Linked DNA regions of Macaca fascicularis. The protein of the gene in region 2 purifies or fractionates together with the protein of the main gene of each other region. This does not show direct contact. Links are inferred from orthologs where the notes say so. Each region holds a gene or a part of one and is shown on either strand. Other genes may lie near its edges. The genes, in order: CUL4B and DCAF6.

What was found.
Region 1: the proteins of DCAF6 (region 2) and CUL4B purify together in Homo sapiens (affinity purification with mass spectrometry; 6 studies listed by BioGRID and IntAct, with this or other methods). This does not show direct contact. The link is inferred for Macaca fascicularis from reciprocal best matches to the Homo sapiens genes DCAF6 and CUL4B.

Annotation. Positions count from the first base shown.
Region 1 is NC_088395.1:126,807,511-126,811,321, reverse strand, and holds part of CUL4B (cullin-4B), read left to right. Parts: intron 1-227; coding exon 228-333; intron 334-2,226; coding exon 2,227-2,399; intron 2,400-3,811.
Region 2 is NC_088375.1:25,600,795-25,605,100, forward strand, and holds the start of DCAF6 (DDB1- and CUL4-associated factor 6), read left to right. Parts: upstream 1-1,393; 5' UTR 1,394-1,621; coding exon 1,622-1,718; intron 1,719-4,306. Other genes in the region: MPC2 (mitochondrial pyruvate carrier 2), read right to left, coding at 440-548. UniProt on the Homo sapiens protein: Ligand-dependent coactivator of nuclear receptors. Enhance transcriptional activity of the nuclear receptors NR3C1 and AR. May function as a substrate receptor for CUL4-DDB1 E3 ubiquitin-protein ligase complex.

The DNA.
Region 1 (3,811 bases), on a different chromosome or scaffold from region 2:
AAAAACTGTTAAAAGGTCAGCTAATCCTTCCCCCTGTTTTAGGTAGGGTCACACCTAAACCCCACACTGAAATACTGTATTACTACGTCAAGTGGCTTTGCTGGATAATGCTAATCATGTTTCTAAATCTACTAATTGAAAAATGCTTTTCCTGTAAGAGATGATTTGATTAATTTTTCATGTGTTTTTAAAAAAGTAATGGCTAAACACTTTTATTTCTTCAACAGGGTAAAAAAGAACTCCAGGTCTCTCTTTTTCAAACACTGGTGCTGCTAATGTTTAATGAGGGAGAGGAGTTCAGTTTAGAAGAGATCAAGCAGGCAACCGGAATAGGTTTGTGTTGAATTGGTTGATTAGCAAACATTAAGTGTTCACTATGTGCATACCACTGTGTTAAGAGGTCTGAGGGACATTTATAGGAATAATCCCTTGCCTCAGAACTCTTTTGAGGGTTTTTTTTTTTCTTTAACGAGGGTCTCAGTCTGTCACCCAGGCTGGGGTCCAGTGGTACAATCATGGCTCAGGATCAAGTGATTCCCCTGCCTCAGTCTCCCAAGCAGATGGGACTACAAGTGCATGCCACCATGCCTGGCTAATTTTTAAAATTTTTTTTGCAGAGACAGGGTCTCACTATGTTGCTTAGCCTGGTCTCAAACTCCTGAGCTCAAGGGATCTTCCTGCCTCAGCCTCCCTAAGTACTGCGATTACGTGCATGAGCCCCTGCACCCAGCCAGAACTCTTTTTTTTTCCCCCTGTCAAGATGGAATCTCGCTGTGTCACCTAGGCTGGAGTGCAGCGGCGTGATCTCAGCTCACTGCAACCACTACCTCCTGTGTTCAAGTGATTCTCCTGCCTCAGCCTCCTGAGTAGCTGGGATTACAGGTGCCCGCCACCACACCTGGCTAATGTTTGTATTTTTAGTAGAGACAGGGTTTTACCATGTTGGCCAGGCTGGTCTCGAACTCCTGACCTCGTGATCCGCCTGCCTCGGCCTACCAAAGTGCTGGGATTACAGGTGTGAGCCACTGCACCTGGCCAAAACTCTTAATATAACCATAGGGAAAGGGGGAAATGACACTTGAAATAATGTCAGAACCAATAAGTACTGGCTTGTGGTACTGACTAAGTGTGGTAGGAGTTCAACAAAGCAAGGGATCACTGTGGACTAGCACAATTGGGAAAGCTGTCATGAAGCAAGTGGCATTTGAGCTAGGCCTTCAAGTTTTGGTCAGGGAGAAGGCATATACAGCAAGGGGAAATATTTTGAGATGAGATTGGAGGTAGGAATGGGCACAGTATAGGCCCATGAAGAGCTTAATTGTAGCACGGAATCATGAAGAATCATGAAGAGCTTAATTGTAACAGAATAGTGAGTTAAAAAATTAGGTAGGATGAGTAGTGCCTGATTGTGGAGAACCTGATAAATCTAGCAAATGCAAACCTACATTGTAGTGTCTCAACTATGTGGCGTGGTGGAAGTAATTATTTGGACCACTTACTGAAATCAATGTACAGGGCAACTGGAAGGATCAAGGGATTCCAGTTTAGATGCTGTTGGGATGATTCGGGCATAAAGTGGAAGGGCCTTAGACTAGAATGAGGCCACGAAAATGGAGAAAATTCATCTCTGCAGAAGCAACAGCTAGCTATTATGTTGAGGATGAGGGAGAAGGAAAAGTTAAAAGATGATTTCAGGGTTTCCCAATTGCGAAGGTTAGTAGTATCACCACTGACAGTTGGAAAGAGGACACAGTTATATAGAGATGATGAATCAAATTTTGGACGTGACTACAGTTGATAGTAAAACAGCCAGGCGGAATTGCCATTTAAACGTGCAACTGGAGAGAAGTGAAATGTCATTTTGGAAGATTTGGTAGTTGCGCACATCATACGATAATTGACACCTTTAAAAGATGACTAGGGGCCGGGCGTGGTGGCTCACACCTGTAATCCCAGCACTTTGGGAGGCCAAGGCGGGTGGATCACTTGAGCTCAGGAGTTTGAGACCAGCCTGGGCAACATGGTGAAACCCCGTCTCTATTTTTTTTTAAAAAAAGAAGAGAACTAGGAAAAAAGCCATTGGCTAGGACAAAGAAGAGTTGTTGGTGACCTTTGGGAAAAAATGAAACAGTTTTACTAGGGGGATGGAGTGGAAACTAGATTGAGGTAGAATGTGGTAGTTGTTCATGCTGGTAACAAATAACTAAACCTCTCTTTCTTCTTCAGAGGATGGAGAGTTAAGGAGAACACTGCAGTCATTAGCCTGTGGCAAAGCTAGAGTTCTGGCAAAAAATCCAAAGGGCAAAGATATTGAAGATGGTGACAAGTTCATTTGTAATGATGATTTCAAACACAAACTTTTCAGGATAAAGATCAATCAAATCCAGATGAAAGAAACGGTATTTCTTTCACTTTCTCCTAGTCCTAACACACTGGAATTATACATGTTAATAATTAAAATATATAAAGATTTTATACCTGTAATACTGCCAATACCATTAACATTTTCTCTGCTATGTCCAGCTAAATATATTTCCGTATTTGATTTTGGGTTTTTGGGAGAGTGCTTGTACAGGATTGGGTTGATACTCAACATGGTTTTATATCCTACTTTGTTTATTTAATATTCAATCTTTAGAATTTTTCCATGCCATTAAATAGCTTCAAAAAATGGCAAATGGCAGTGTAATATTTTTACATGGCTCTTACAGTTTATTCAACCACTGTTCATTTTGGGGCAATTAAATTCATGACTTTTTAGTATTATAAATAAAATTGCAAGAAACCTCTTTGAACCTAAATTTTAATCTCTTTGATATATGATAAATGTGTGGAAGTAGATTTTTTTGGGTTAAAGGGTATGAACATTTTAGGAGTCTTAGTACATAATGTCATATTGTGTTCCAGAAAGACTGAACCAGTTTATACTCTGTCCAGCAGCATATGAGAGCCTGTCTTACTATGTCCACCAGCACTAAAGATTATATTTTCTTTTTCCAACTTGCTTGGTGAAAAATCTGAATGATTTATTCACTATTTGTTTGATTAACAGTGAAGGTGGGCCAGGCACGGTGGTTCACGCCTGTAATGCCAGCACCTTGGGAGGCCGAGGCGGGTGGATCACCTGAGGTCAGGAGTTCAAGACCAGCTTGGCCGACGTGGTGAAACCCTGTCTCTACTAAAAATATAAAAATTAGCTGGGCGTGGTAGTGCGTGCTTGTAGTCCCAGCTACTTGGGAGACTGAGGCATGAGAATCACCTGAACCCAGGATGTGGAGGTTGCAGTGAGCTGAGATTGCGCCACTGCACTGCAGCCTGGGTGACAGAGTGAGACTCTGTCTAAAAAAAAGAAAAAAACAAAAACAGTGAAGGTGAATATTTTGTTTGTTTTTGCCATTTGAATTTGTAAGAGACTTCCAACTGCAGCATCCTGAAACTGATGGTTTCAGTTCCAATAAGGTTTAATGCAATATTTGAAAAAAAAAATTTTTTTTTTTTTTTTTTGATGTGGAGTCTCACTCTGTCACCCAGGCTGGAGTCAGTGGCGCGATCTTGACTCACTGCAACCTCTGCCTTCTGGGTTCAAGTGGTTTTCCTGCCTCAGCCTCCTGAGTAGCTGGGACTACAGGCGTGCACCACCACGCCCAGCTAATTTTTGTATTTTAAGTAAAGATGAGTTTTCACCAGATTGGCCAGGCTAGTCTCGAACTGCTGACCTCACGATCCACCCACGTCGGCCTCCCAAAGTGCTGGGATTACATGTGTGAGCCACTGCGCTCAGCGGAGAAAAGTTTTAATGTAGGACAGCAAC
Region 2 (4,306 bases):
AGAAAGTGTGACCTTTACTCCAAACCCTACAGTGCGACAAGCCACCCACCCAGCTCTGCCTAGCGTGGGTTAATATGCCACAATTCGAAAAGAGAAAGAGAATGAGTGTTTCATGGTGGCTGCAGACACTTTCGTGGCCGCAGAAGCTGAGAAGGCTCAAATTTGGAGGTCAGGTTTGGGTTGGAGTCGTGCGTAAGGGAGCGGATGTCACATAGGTGGGGAAGGGCGCTGACTTGAGATACGTTGGCTTAGGAAGAGATGTTGCAGGAGAGAGGGTGAAATGCAGAGGCTAGGAGAGTAAACGGCTTCACCTGAGGGGAAGGAAGGAGTTGGGGCTGTGGGATGCCTCTAGTGGCAGTTGTCAGAGGGCCTCTAAAAGGTCCATTTTAGAGGAAGGGGGAAGGAAGGTCTAGATAACGAGCCATTCAGGGTCCATTACCTGCTGGATGGTTGTACAACGGCCTCAATTTCTCGGGCAGCATCAGCTCCACTTTATCGAGGAGCCGGTGGTAGCTGGCCCGCAGGCCTCGGGCACCGGCGGCCGACATCGCCGCCGAGGGATCGTGAGCAGCCGGGTGGGAGCGTGGCTCTGTTCTCGTCCCTGGCTGACAACGAAGGGGAGCTAGTCACTCTTCCTTGCCACGACGCCTGGCGTCCGTCTCTCGCCTGGAGAGCCCTTCCCGCGGTTCTCGCTGCCCGGCTGTGAACCAAAAAGCTGCCGCCCGCACCCCGCGAAGGTTGAGGGGGCGGAGGCTGCCAACGGCCCGCCCCTGGTCCGCCTCCGCCCCGGCAGGAGAGAGGGAGGAGGAGCCTCGGCAACAGGTGCCAAAATAATCACCTCACCGAGTCCGCCCAGCGCCCTCCTGGCAGCGCGCTTGCGCAGACTGAGCTGCCCGCCATGATTGGCCCGCCCCGAGGCGCGGGCAGGGTGCAGCGGAACCTCCTCTTTCTCCCCGCTGCCCTCGAGGCCATGTTGGAGAAGGGAAAGTGAAGCTGCGCCGGCTCTACTGCCCCTTAACTTTGACTAAGCAGGCCCGTAGTTAAAATGGGCTTTTCGGGCCTTCAGTGCCTAAAGATGATGCTGCACTATTCTTTTGCTTCTTTTGACTGGAGACTCGTGAGCGAGAGACTACAGAATTGAGTCGCTTCTCTCTCTACTCCTCTTTTATCCCTAGCGACTTAAGAATCTGGTTAGAGTGGCCCGAATGCATTTTTCCACGGTGAGGGCAGCCGCGGCACACACCAGCCTCAGTCCCCGAGGTGGTCGTCATCTCGCGAGAAAGGGTTGGCGGGGAGGGTATCCAGGACGAGGAGAGGGAGGAGTCGCCATCGCCTCCGCCTCCGCCTCCTCCTGTTGGAGGGGGGCCGAGGGAGGAGACTGTTGCTGATCTTTGGATGTTCTGGTTAGTCTAAGAAGGAGAGTATGAGGCGAGCTCCGGCCCGGGTGCGGCCGGGCTTCGGGGGCCCAGGCGCCGCTGCTGCCACCGCCATCTAACGCTGCGCCCTGGAGGCCCGGCGCGCGGATGGTGCCGGTGCGGCTCGGGTGTTGATCCGGTGTCCCCTCCCCCTCTTCCCCTCCCCCACGCGGTGGTCTCCCCTCCCACCCGGCTCAGGCAGAGCCATGTCTCGGGGTGGCTCCTGCCCACACCTGTTGTGGGACGTGAGGAAAAGGTCCCTCGGGCTGGAGGACCCGTCCCGGCTGCGGAGCCGCTACCTGGGTGAGCGGGGGCCCCGGGGCGGAGGCGCTGAGGTCGCCGCCCAGAGTGGGGGAGGGGGCGCACTGCCGGGGCTGTTGGAGGTGGGACAGCGTCTCGGCGAGGGTGCCCCGAGACTCTGGGGTGTTGGGTGGGGCCTCGGTCGCCGAATCCCGTGCCGGTGCCTCCCCCAGTCAAGCCCCCTATGCTTGCTGCCAGCCGCCGCCCTTGCTGGGTTTTCCTCGGAGGGCCGGGCCGAGGGCAGAAGGTACTGGCTTGTAAAGGTGTTGGGGTCGCTAATAGGTTGGGACTCGGGGGACTTGCGGAACCTCCAGGAGCTGCCGCGTTTAGAGCAAAAGTTAGCTCTTTTGCTCTTTTCCAGCGCGCTCTCCCCGCTGAGCCGGAGAACCTAAGTTGTTGCCCACCCTCGTCTTCGATCTCAAGAGGGTTTAGGTGTCGGCTGCGACGCGTTGACCACCCTCAGGGACTTCACGCTCCAGACAGAATCCGTGTAAACTGTTCTTGCGGCGCTGAGCCAAAACCTAAAAGTGATAGCTGAGCTCTCCCCACCCCCGCGCGCTCTCCCAGTTCCACTCTGTTCTTCAGTTCGTTTTGACCGCTTAAAGGTGGTGTAGGGTTTCACGTTCCTTTTCCCACCCCTGGAAAACACACTTGGCATTTACAGTTTCTTAGTTAAGCTTTCTAAAAACAACCTTCAATACTTGAGGGAACAGTATTCCACTTTTTTCGTTTTGCATAACATTTTTTTTTTTTTTTTGAGGATTCTGGGTCACGCCCGAGTCAACTAAAAAGTTTGGTTTCGTAAAAATGGACGTACTTAGTAAAGGTCTTTTTTGTTTCTCCCTGTATACTCTTCATTACTCTTTCTATTTGGAGATATGGCAAACAACATCAAACAAAATTTTTCTTTACAGTTTTGCCATTTGCTAGGTAAAAAGTGTTTGTTGCTGTCATTTGTTTTTGATTTCAAGTAAAGAGAAGAAAATGAAATCTCATTACAGCCAACAGTTCTGGTTTGTAAATTATTTAAGAAAAGTTAGCATGCAATTTAATTCTTGCTTTTTAGTGTCTCAAGTAAAATACGAATACATTTTGTTTGTAGAAGCTCAATAAAAATGAAGCAAAAATCCCTTTGATTCCTCCCATTCAATTTCACTTCGCCACCCTTAGAAATAATATTTTCTGTTTTCTGAATATTCTTCCAGACCTTTTTGTTTGCATTCTTACAAGTACGTATGTATATGTACAAATGCTAGGGTGTGTGTGTGGTGTGTGTGTATATGTGTGTGTGTGAGAGAGAGACACCTGAATACATGGTCATATCGTAAACATTGTTTTAACTTCTCCACGTTTTGGAGATCTTTCCATGGCAGTAAAAATAGATTATGTCTTTTAAATTATTACATAGTATGTAACATTATGAAGTACCGTAGTGTACTCAACCATTCTTCAAGTGGACGTTCGCCCTTACAGCATTGTAATGAACATCATTGTACAAGCTTTTGTGCATTTGTTGTAGGATAAGTACCTAGAGTGGTGATTAATCATTTTAAAATTGAACATAGCTAGAGTCTGCTTTTTTAAACTATTTGCCAAAAAAAGTGTGCAATATTTCTTTTAGAATTTATTTGTGGAGAGAGAACTTAATTTTAGCTTAATAAAACAAATGTTAACGTTGTTTTGCATGAATACATTGATAATTTGGTCCTTTATGTCAGTTGGACAGTTTAAGTACTTGTATACAGTTCTATATTTTAGTGTTTTCCTTTGGTTCAGTTACTTTAGCTATATCTACAAATGAGTTAATTAAAATATAACAAAACCATATACTTTCTTTTTCCTCTCCTACTCCGACTCCCTAATGGAAATGGAATTTGTATATTGGGTCTAGGGGAATTGAAGGGTTCACTGACTATAGTAGAAATCCTGAATTATAGTTTTTCAAATGTGTATATATATATACACACACGTACATACAGGGAGTTCTTTATCTTAAATAGTATTTTAGATATGATATATACTCTTTTTTTTTTTTTTTTGAGGCGGAGTCTTCACTCTGTCGCCCAGGCTGGAGTGCAGTGGCACCATCTCAGCTCACTGCAAGCTCCGCCTCCCGGGTTCGCGCCATTCTCCTGCCTCAGCCTCCCGAGTAGCTGGGACTACAGGCGCCCGCCACCGCGCCCGGCTAATTTTTTGTATTTTAGTAGAGACGGCGTTTCACCGTGTTAGCCAGGATGGTCTCGATCTCCTGACCTCGTGATCCGCCCGCCTCGGCCTCCCAAAGTGCAGGGATTACAGGCGTGAGCCACCGCGCCCGGCCGGATATATACTCTTAAAATAGGACATTTTTGGAATGACTTCCTTTAAAGTGGTTTTCTAAGTACTTGAAAATACTTTTTGAAAGTATCGAGACTTGAAAATGTTTTCAAAGAACTAACTGACTGGCCTTTACCCTTAGTAGACCTTTGCGCTGTTATTCAACTCTTCTACACTACAGTGCTGATCTTGGCTTTGCATTCAGGAAACAGCAAAATCCACGTTGGTAATGTTTGAATTAGTGATTTTTTAAAAAAAATGACTTTCCCTCCCAG